Linked DNA regions of Caenorhabditis elegans. The protein of the gene in region 2 interacts with the protein of the main gene of each other region in a pairwise test. Each region holds a gene or a part of one and is shown on either strand. Other genes may lie near its edges.

Region 1 (5,975 bases), about 16 Mb from region 2:
AAAAAACTCCTTTTTTGCGAAAATTGGGGAATCTGAGTTTTAATTGAATTTTTAGAGTGCACACTCGCTTTTCCCGGCAAAAATTCTGACTTTTCAGGAAATTTTCCCGAAAATTCACGAATTTCAACAAGAAACACCGAGAAAATCACATTTAAAACCTAAAAATCCGGAAAAATCGATTGAAAATGTAGTTTGTAGTCTGGCAGACCCATGCGCTCGATTTGGGTCTGCTAGACTACAAACTACACGCTCTAGAGTTAAATTTCGCAGTTTTCAACGGATTTTTCAGCAAAACTTGCAGTTTTTAAAGGAAAACCGTAGAGAAAAACCGATTTTACGATTATATTTGATAATTTAGAAGGAAAGCTCGATTTTTGAACGAAAAATTCGTATTTTTTGCAAATTTTCGCACAAAACTCCGAGAAAATCGTGTAAAAAACTAAACATGTGTAAACTTTCGGATTTTCAGATGGTATTTTGGCGAAAATTGTGATTTTATGCAAAATTCTCTGTGAAAATTGATTTTGTGAGTCAATTTTCGTGCATTTTTCCTTAAAAATTCCGAGAAAATGCAAATGTTTGCATTATTCCCGCGAAAAAATCATCAGGAAAACTGCTCAAAATTACAGCAAAACTGGCGATTTTTACCAAGTTTTATGGTCTGCCAGACTACATACTACACAAAATGTATTTAGCAGACCCAGAATCCATTTTTCTTGCATTTTTTATTGATCAGCGTTAAAATTTGCAATTTTCGTGATTTTCAACCCACTTTTCAGCAAAAAATTCAGCTTTTGAAGAAAAATCGTAGAGAAAAACCGATTTTACGATTATATTTGATAATTTAGAAGGAAAGCTCGATTTTGAAACGAAAAATCGAATTTTTTGCAAATTTTCACACGCAATTTCGAGAAAATCGCGTAAAAAACCAAAAATTTGTACGAAACCAAAAAAAAAAACGGAACGCGTCCTCCTTCGAAAAAAGAGCGCGTAAATACGAAGAAATGAGTCAGTTGACGGACACAATGATGAGATGAAGAGACGGCAGACAACGAGAGGTTCCATGTTTTCTCTCGTCTCTCTCAGCTCTCAATGCTCTCTAATCGTCGTCACTTTTTGTCCCTCGCCAACATCGAAAATCGATGGGATTTGTTGGTGGGACACTTGGCAGCATGCCAAGTGTTATTCGGAGAGCAGATGGCCAAAAAGAACGGCGAGAGCGGGGCAATTTGGCAAAAAAAAATCGATTTTTTCCTAAATGTGGGAGAAAATTAGCGAATTTTAATGCTGATTAATAAAAAATGCATGAAAAAATCCAAAAATTCGCGAAAAAAAAATGGATTTTGGGTCTGCTAAATACAATTTTTGTAGTTTGTAGTCTGGCAGACCATAAAACTTGGTAAAAATCGTCAATTTTGCTGTTATTTTGAGCAGATTTCTGATTTTTTCGCGGGAAAAAAATTCAAATCTTGCATTTTCGCGGAATTTTTCAGGAAAAATTAACGATTATTGCCTTAAAAAATCAATTTTCACACAGAATTACGCATAAAATCACAATTTTTCGCCAAAAAACCGTTTAAAAAAAATGCATATTTTTCTATGGGAAACCGAGTTTTTTCCGTCTAAATCTGCTTATATTCACCTAAAACGCAAAATTTCGTCGAAAAAAATATGGGTCTGCTAAATACATTTTGTAGTTTGTAGTCTAGCAGACCTACTCTCAGAAATTTGGTCTGCTAGACTACAAACTACAAAAAACGCTAGCATACCAATCGAAAAATTGAGAGATTTTCGTCAGATTTTGAGAGGAAAATGATTTAAAAACGAGGTTTAAAGCAATTTTTCAAATTTTTTTCAAAAAATTCCAGAAAAACCGGCTTTTCTGGAATTGGGGAGGAAAATTAGTGAATTTTAATGCTAATTGGTCAAAAATACAAGAAAAAATAAAAAAAATTCGCGAAAATTTTTTTTTTGGGTCTGCTAAATACATTTTGTGTAGTTTGTAGTCTGGCAGACCATAAAACTAGGTAAAAATCGTCAATTTCGCTGTGATTTTGGGCAGTTTTCCTGATTTTTTCGCTGGAAAAATTCAAATTTTGAATTTTCTCGCAATTTGAATATGAAAATTCACGAAAATTGACTCAAAAATCGATTTTTACAGAGAAATATGAGTAAAATCACAATTTTCGCCAAAAAACCGTCTAAGAAAACGAAAAATTCATATTTTTCTATGGGAAACCGAGTTTTTTCCGTCTAAATCTGCGTATTTTCACATGAAAACGCAACATTTAGTCGAAAAAACTATGGGTCTGCCAAATACGTTTTGTAGTTTGTAGTCTAGCAGACCCACTCGGGTCTGCTAGACTACAAACTACAAAAAACGCTAGCAGACCAATCGAAAATTTGAGAGATTTCGTTAGATTTTGACAGAAAAATTGATTTAAAAACGAGATTTAAAGTAATTTTTTAATTTTTTCAGCAAAAAATTCCAGAAAAACCGGTTTTTCTGGAATTGGGGAGGAAAATTAGTGAATTTTAATGCTAATTGATCAAAAATGCAAGAAAAAAATCAAAAAAATTCGCGAAAAATGTTTTTTTTTGGGTCTGCTAAATACATTTTGTGTAGTTTGTAGTCTGGCAGACCATAAAACTTGGTAAAAATCGCCAATTTTGAGCATTTTTTCCTGATTTTTTTGCGGGAAATATCTCAAAATGTGCATTTTCTCGACATTTTAATGTGAAAATTCACGAAAATTGACTTAAAAAATCAATTTTCACAGAGAATTATGCATAAAATCACAATTTTCGCCGAAAAAACTCTGAAAATACGAAAAATTCATATTTTTTGTCGGTTTTCTGTGAAAAACTGAGTTTTTTCCTTTAAATCTGCTTAATTTCACCTGAAAACGCAAAATTTAGTCGAAAAAGTGATGGGTCTGCTAAATACATTTTGTAATTTGTAGTCTGGCAGACCCAATCTCAGAAATTTAATCTGCTAGACTACAAACTACAAAAAACGCTAGCAGACCAATCGAAAATTTGAGAGATTTCGTTAGATTTTGACAGAAAAATTGATTTAAAAACGAGATTTAAAGCAATTTTTCAATTTTTTCAGCAAAAAATTCCAGAAAAACGGGTTTTTTAAGGCAAAATTCAGTTTTTTAGAACTTTTGTAACAATAAAAACTGCAATTTTACCGGAAAACCAGTAGAATTTAAATTTTAACTCATAAATTATACAGTCAAATTTTAAGTCAATTTTCTTGCAATTTTCGTCAAAACGGCGTAGTTTTACCCAAAAACTTGCTGAAAAGTCGAAAAATCTGGATTTTGGCGTAAATTCCACCATTTTCAGCCGAATTTTTCCGATTTTTATCGAATTCAAACATTATTTTGCCGGAAAATAAGACAAATCAAACAATTCTGTGAGAAATATCAATTTAGGATGGAAAAATTGCGGAATTAATGGAAAAATTGAATCCTAAGAGGTATTTTTTTTTTCGAATTTTACCTTTTTCAAGTTGAAAAAGCACGAACCTTCCATTGCGCTTGTTAATTCCTTCAGTTTTTCGTCGAAAATCAGCAAAAAAGCGCCGAAAATTGGGTGAAAAGTTCGAAAATTGGAAAAAAATTTATTTTTTTTTATTGCGCCGTACTACGGTAGACAGAACACGCCGTGCGGTGTTTGCGGAGTTGTGTACCGTAGTCCGGTTTTTAAATTGAAGTTAATTTAAAATGTTTTCAAAATTATTGATTTTTAATGAAATTTCCTGAATTTTAGAGTCAAAAATTGGTTAGAAATCGTGAAACTTGAGAGAAAATCGTCGAAACTCTCAATATTCCGGGTTGAAATTCAATTTTTCATCTATATTGAAACAAAAAATCATTTTCTCAAAAAAAGAAAATCGTGAATACTTGAGGTTTTGTATAATTTGCACCGGTTATCCATGCATTTCCATGCAAATTAGTTAAAAAATCTAATAAATTTCAATTTTTCACTTATAGTTTTTCTCACAATTTCCAGCAAATTTTCGGGAAAATCTCCACTTTTCAACAAGGTTTGCAATTTAATACAAAAATGTCTCAAAATTGTAATTTAACAAGAAAAAAAACAGATTTCAACAAAACAGTTTATTTTAATGAGAACCACACGAGTGAACAACAGTTTAATTTATTTCTTCTTTTCGATTTTGATAGAAATATGATCGTATAAGAGGCTGAAGTGAGAGCCATTGTCATAGTCAACGCGAAAAGGTCTTCTAGCAATGAAATTTGGATTGAAAACTCGCACAACTCCAACGCTGAAGATATTTCTAGAAGTGATGATTCCAGACTCAAAAACAGTCGATTTCAAGAGAATCTGGAAAAAATGACAATTTTTTTGAAGGAACATTAAAAAACTAACATCTCTGATTTTAACAGCATCAGCGACAGAAAGATACGCCGTATCAATGAAGAAGTGGGTAAGATGGAAGAGATTTTCAATTGGGAAATGCTTCTCTCCATATGAATCAATAAAAATCGACTTGGCTCTTTTCCATTGCTCCATTTCAAATAATTGATCGACGTAATCTGGATTCCCGCTGCAGTAAATGCAAATTTCTTCTAGAAATCCTGGTTGAAGAAGCGGAAAAATTGTTGCGGCAAAAGTTGGAAGATTAATGGAAAAGTCGATTCTTTTTACCTTGTAGAGGTTTTTTGAATCGGACATTTCTTTGAACCAATTCATAAATGTTTCCTTCTTTTGAATACGATCATATCCTTGGAATTCAAGGACTTCCAATTGAAGTTTCGAGTTCTTCATCACCACTGACAAGTCTGTCTCAGCCATTTTCAAGCCGTTCACTCCTTTAAAGCGCTCATTCCGATCATTGTAGTTTACTGTGCAATGCGAATGACTGAAATCATAGTGAATTACAGTAGATTTTGCGTCAAGCAGCCACATCTGGAATTGAGAGTGATGGATGTTAAGTACAACGCGCTTGATTCCAGGATCCTTATTATCGACGATTGCACGAAAGTTGCGGCAGACTTTACGGACAGAAAGCCTGAAATTTTCAATTTAATTAATCCTCCAAAAACTAGTTCTGATTATACCGTTCGATTGGTTCAACCTTTTCCACAATTTTATGAATGACGTCCAATGGCAAATTCGACATCGATGGAGCCTTGGAGCACGGCCTCTCTCAATTTCATTTATTTCAAAATTCCTCTTTTTCTCTCACACTCTCTCACGTGAGATTGAAAATTGAATAATATATGTGTTTTTAAATTAAATTCAAAATATTGACGAAGAAACAACTTTGGTATAAATACTGATTTGTTAGGACCGATACCAAATGGTAATTTTCGGACATATTTGATCTCGTAGACAACGGCTCACTATTTCAGTGATCTTTAAAGTAATAAAAAATTCTTCAAAGTTTGGTACAGAGAAACTGAAGTAGTTACATTTGTAGAAACTTACATAACTTATAAACCTACCGTATTCCTATCGTACCCAATTACCGTATTTCCTCTATTAGTCTTGAATGCAAGACTAATTTTCAATTGACCCGTAGGGGTGCAAGACTAATAGAGTCCGCATGACTGATTTTCGATTGGTCCGTAGGGGTGCAATACTAATAGGGGTGCAAGACTAATAGAAGCTGCAAGACTAATAGAGGAAATACGGTATATTTTTTGTCGTACACTGATGGAAAACTGATGAGACTTTCCCGGCAGGGTTCACAAGCTGAGTTATTCATTGGTGGCCTCGGTTTCAGTCGGTTGCCGACTGTAAAGACGGGATCCCGTACGGGAAAAACAAAAAGTGACATATGAAAAAGGTATCAGACGGTACTAATCCAGACTTTGTTATTTTTTGCTTCTTTGAGATGATTGTGCAAACGGATAATTTCGAATACCTTCGTGGTATCTCTATCAAAGTTTTTCAAAGCATTGAATCTTTACATAGCTTAAACTATGTATTTTGTG
Region 2 (4,982 bases):
CACTGTATTTCCACTATTTCCATATCACAATGTCTATTTTTTTTTAAATATAATTCCCATAAAATTGACTTTAGGAATCACGGATTCAAGATCAGGTGGAATTCCGGATCTCGCATCGTGCCAACTGCCGCAGTTTTTTCGAAAAAAAACGTGACAACGATGCTCCGGTATTACGCGTCACGAGTTGTTTAGCGTATTTCTTTGAGAAAAGTTGCGTTTTATTCGTTGGCACAGTGCCAAATCCGGAATTCCACCAAATCTTGAATCCGTGGTGTCTTATTCAGTGGAAAAAATCGAACCTCAGATCCAGATCCGCCACTTTCGGCACTATCTGCGTCCATTTCACTATCATCCGAATCATTATCGTCCTCGTCATCGTCATCCTGATTCTCTTCTTCATCCTCTTTCAGCTCATTATCCTCCCACCAATCGTCTTCGCTGCTCTCACCGTCATCATCCGAGCCAATTGTGTCAAAATCTTCAGAATCCGAATCAAGATCTGGAAATTGGGGAAAAATAGGTTTAAATTCTTCATAAGACCTCGGCCATTTTGAAAATTAAATTTTTTTCGGAAAATTCTACAAAAGATATATAAATTCTCTTGGTTTAACTGAAAATATCATCTTTTGTAGCTGAAAATGCCTAAAAACTGTCCGAAAGTTGCCGAAAAATCGGTCATCGGCAACTTTCAGGCAATTTTTCTGCTCTTTTTCCAATTTTTCCACTAAAAATAATGTTATTTTCAGTAAAAACAAGTGAATTTCTATGTTTTGAGACTGATTTTATTGAAAAATTTGGGAAGTACAGGCTTTTTGTAGAATTTTCCGAAAATAATTGAGAACAGGAATATTCACCTTATTATATACTAAAAACCGCGGAAAAATCTGATTTTTAATGTTTTTTTATAAAAAACCTGCAAAAATTCATTTTCCGAGCTTATCTACAAAAAATTCTATTTTGCCGCATTCTCTCGGTTTATATGAAAATAACACACTTTTCAGCAGAAATATTGGAGAAAATGCCCAAAAATTGCCTGAAAGTTGCATTTTTCTGCGTTTTTTTCCACTTTTTCCACTAAAAACAATGCTATTTTCAGATAAACCAAGTGAATTTTCACTGAAAAACGTGGGAAACACAGGCTTTTCCGCTGGAAAATATCTTGCGCGTAATTTTCCGCGAAAATCCGCTCAAAATATTACCATTATTGAACACAACCAACGGCTGCTGCACAATAACCACATTATTAGTTCGTCTCTTGATAAGATCAGCGATTGTGGATATTTTTCCGTGAAGAGCCAACAAATCTCGATGATGACCGACTCTTGAGCGCAGCCAGCCGATTAAACCGCCAATTTCCTTCTCCAAATTCGGAAGTGAGCTGAGATAAGGCATGTGAATTGAGAAGGCGATTTGAGCCCATCGGATGGTTGGACGAATGCTGGAAAATCAATAAATTAGGAGGAATTAGTACTAAAAATTCGATTTACTCTGCAGCATTCCTCGTTTTCAAGCGAGATTCGATGATTTTGAGCAATGGCAAGACCTGCATCGGCTGGAGATCACGGAGGGTAGCGTGAATAATTTCAGAATTCAAATTTCTAATGACTGAGTCGATTTTTGCACTATCATTAGCCATTATTCCCTGAGTAAGCAGAACACATTGTGATCCACCGCCGCTACCACTCGTTTTTCCCTTTTTGAGTTCAGAAGTTGGCCTGAAAATCGGAAATAATTGAATATTATCGAAAATCCACCAATAATCCTACGTGGCTGGCTCTTTTTCACGATCTCCGAGCGGTTTGTTGGCCTCTTTCTCCGATTCACTCAGTTTTTTCCCATTTCGAAGCGAACCGTTAATATGCGAATGCCCATTTACTACAGGGGACTCGATTTTCTCAGGAGTTGCAGGAGATGTAACTGCCGCCACATTTGATTTCCTGGCTTTCCGTTCTCGAGCCATTTTCTGGAAACTGCAAAAAAATATTGGAAAATTCGATTTTAAGGCCATTTTACGCACAATAATCGCAAAAAAGATACATTTCACGGTAAAAAAGCTTTAAAAACTAATAAGAACAATAAAAAATCAATAAAATACGCCTGAAAACCATGAAAAACTCTTCAAAAACGCCTGGAAATAAGGAAAATAAAGATTAAAAATTTTGCACCGCAAACGCGCAAGCGACGAGAAATGCGTCAGTGACGGGGTTGGCGCGGCAAATTAACCCCGCGAATTTTGAACGTGACCCCTTCATTCGGTGGATTTTGGGCCCAAAATTTGCGATTTTCTCTTATTTCCATTTCATTTGCGGCAGTTTTTTCCGGAAAATACACGAAACTGGCTTATTTCAACATGAAAATCCAACTTTTTTAAGCGAAAATTGTCTAAAATTGAAATAAAAATGCAGAAAACGGGTTTGTCTATCTGAAAATAATGTTTTACGGCATTTTTCGGCAAACTGCAAGCTTTTTAACAAAAATGAGTTTTATTTTCAAATAGAAAAACCCGTTTTCTATCAATTTTAGATCAAAAAAGTTGGATTTTCATATTAAAATAAGCCATTTCTTTGTTTTCAACGTTATTTTCTCATTTTTAATCACTAATTCATTTCAGAATGTCTCAAAAATCAAACGACACCACATTCTCGGTCAGAGCCGCGCTCTTCGCATCACCCGTCGGCTCATCATCAGCAGTTCCAAAGAAGAAAGTGGCTCGAGAGGTGCCACGTGCAGGGCCGCCAGTTTTTGCCCTCGAGCACGATGTTTCGGAAGTCACCGACAGAAATAAAGACGGCACCTTTCTGGCTGCAGACGCGTGCGCTAGTGGCCCTACTTTGAAGGTTCCAGACGAAACACAAGGTTGCCCAGAAACTTTCAGTGTTTCGGAACACGAAGATGACGACGACGTTGAGCCGATGGAAGTTGATGGAACCATCGTTCCGTCGCCCCAGCGAGCAACGCCGACACGTGGCGTAACTCCTTGCGAAAAATCGACGACTCCACGCAGAAGATCCTCGAGAAAGTCGATGCCAACGCCTGGGAAGCGTCTGTTCTTCACCAGCAAAGACACTACGAACGAGGATCGCAAGGCTGATGACTCGACGCAACTGGAGCTTCTGATGGCAAAGATTCCGCAGGAGATGTCGGGTTACATGAAAAAGTTGGCCACCGACATCAAAGAGGTAGTATTATCGATTTTTAACTTTACATTTAAATCTAAAATTTTCATTTTCAGATGAGCCAATACGATGCACAGCTGGCGCGGAATATCGACGACATGGAAGCGGTTTTCAAATCCCGCGAAACTAAGCTCAAGTCAGCTATTGAAATCGCCAAGGACAGCTTCATCTCGTCCGCTCTGCCTCTTCGCCTCGAGACCCTGGACATGACTCTGCGTAAAGAAGAATCGCCAAATGATATCGTTGCGAGACTTCACGGAAGTTTTCTCGACAAAACCCAGGATGCCGGAAACGTGAATACTGCACAAAAGGAGAACCAGCAGCTGGAGGATGAGCGCGGGATGCTGGTGAGAGTTTCAAATTATTTAAATATGATTTTTAAAAATAAAAATACAATATTATATTTCCAGGAAGAAAAGCTGGAGAGTCTCAACAAGATCAAGAGAGAGAAGGATGAATTTCTGGCGAAAATGCGAAAAGAGGAAGAGGAAGCGCTCGCTCGCCGGGAGGAAATCAAGCAGGGCTTCGAGCGAATCGATGCTCTAATGAGCAAAATCAAGCCGATTCCAATTTTTGAATTCTGATTTCTGATTTCTCACGCTCTGTATAATATTCTATTTCTGACACAATTGATTTCATAAATACATGTATAATATTTTATTCATAGCCTAGGTCTTGCTTATTAAGTGTCAATTTCATTACGTGTACTTTAATTATTGGTTTTGAGTATCTGAAGTTGAGATCCTAGCTGCTTTGGTCCTTTATAAATATATGTTTCTTTAATTTGAGTTGCTATCGCTATCGAAGGTCGTCCTCTTCCTCCTCATTTGCATGTTTTTCTAGCTTCTTCCCCATTAGTTTCCCGCTGACTCCACCGTCGACGAGGTTCTCGAAAACCACGTCGCCATTGTTTCGAAAACAGGAAAATGGCATTTCGCGAAGTGTTGTGAGACCACACTGGAATTTTATTAGTTTTTGAAGCTTTTAGATCGAAAATTCATCGAGGCACCACGGATTCAAGTGCCAACGCAAAGAAACGGGCCAGATCCGATATCCCACCGGTTCTAGATTTCGTGGTGCCTCAATTGGTCTTGCCACGTGGTCAAAGGTCTCGCCACGCTTCCGATGTGGTGTGTGTGCCTTTAAACACGGGTACTGTATTTTTTATAGGTTTTCTGACTTTTCGCTCTATTTTTTTCGTAAAAAGCGGAAATTTTATTGAATAAGAAACTACTATCCTTGCTGAAAATATTCTGAGAAGCCACAGCAGTTGCAACGGTTGCCACGTACTCGCAATCTTCCTTCACAGCATTTTCCAGACTCTTCTCGACGAGCTGTCTTCCGATTCCCTTCCTAAATTGAGCACAATTCCCTAGGAGAACAAGAAAAAAAAAGAAGAAAATTGCTTCCTACCCTTGACAAGCCTTCGACACGCACAGCACATCGATTTTGAAGACTTTTTTCGGATTTCCAGTCAAAAACGACAAGTCTTGCTCCAAAACCTGCACGAATGCCACCAACTTGTTGGCATTTTCGTGTTTGTACTGGCCATTTGTGATTTCTGCGTTAAAATCCCAGTGTGGATTGAATGGGGTCGATTCGGAAACAAAAGAGCATTCTTTGACGGCATTCAGGCAAACTGCCACGATTTCCTGAACACTTTTTTTTCTAGAATTTGCGGGAAGCTAGATTAAATCTGAAAAACAAAAAACAAAAACCTACTTCCCCATCAAAAACCAGAATTGAACTTTTCTCATCTTCCAACCCGCTCATCGTCAAATCAACGAAAAACTCGGCGACATCTTC

Evidence for each region. Proteins that work in one complex are often made in the same cells at the same time.
Region 1: the proteins of knl-3 (region 2) and nova-1 interact in a two-hybrid assay, tested with the Caenorhabditis elegans proteins (one large-scale study listed by BioGRID).

The regions. Positions count from the first base shown.
Region 1 is NC_003283.11:18,078,288-18,084,262, forward strand, and holds the start of nova-1 (K Homology domain-containing protein), read right to left. Parts: upstream 3,620-5,975; 5' UTR 3,544-3,619; coding exon 3,537-3,543; intron 1,754-3,536; exon of another isoform or gene 1,669-1,753; intron 1-1,668. Other genes in the region: fbxa-106 (F-box domain-containing protein), read right to left, coding at 4,171-4,359, 4,405-5,047, 5,097-5,184.
Region 2 is NC_003283.11:1,866,602-1,871,583, forward strand, and holds knl-3 (Kinetochore NuLl), read left to right. Parts: upstream 1-2,611; 5' UTR 2,612-2,612; coding exon 2,613-3,179; intron 3,180-3,232; coding exon 3,233-3,523; intron 3,524-3,586; coding exon 3,587-3,760; 3' UTR 3,761-3,957; downstream 3,958-4,982. Other genes in the region: T10B5.3 (Small-subunit processome Utp12 domain-containing protein), read right to left, coding at 300-499, 1,200-1,438, 1,488-1,715, 1,767-1,960; T10B5.4 (aralkylamine N-acetyltransferase), read right to left, coding at 3,975-4,133, 4,415-4,529, 4,590-4,828, 4,899-4,982.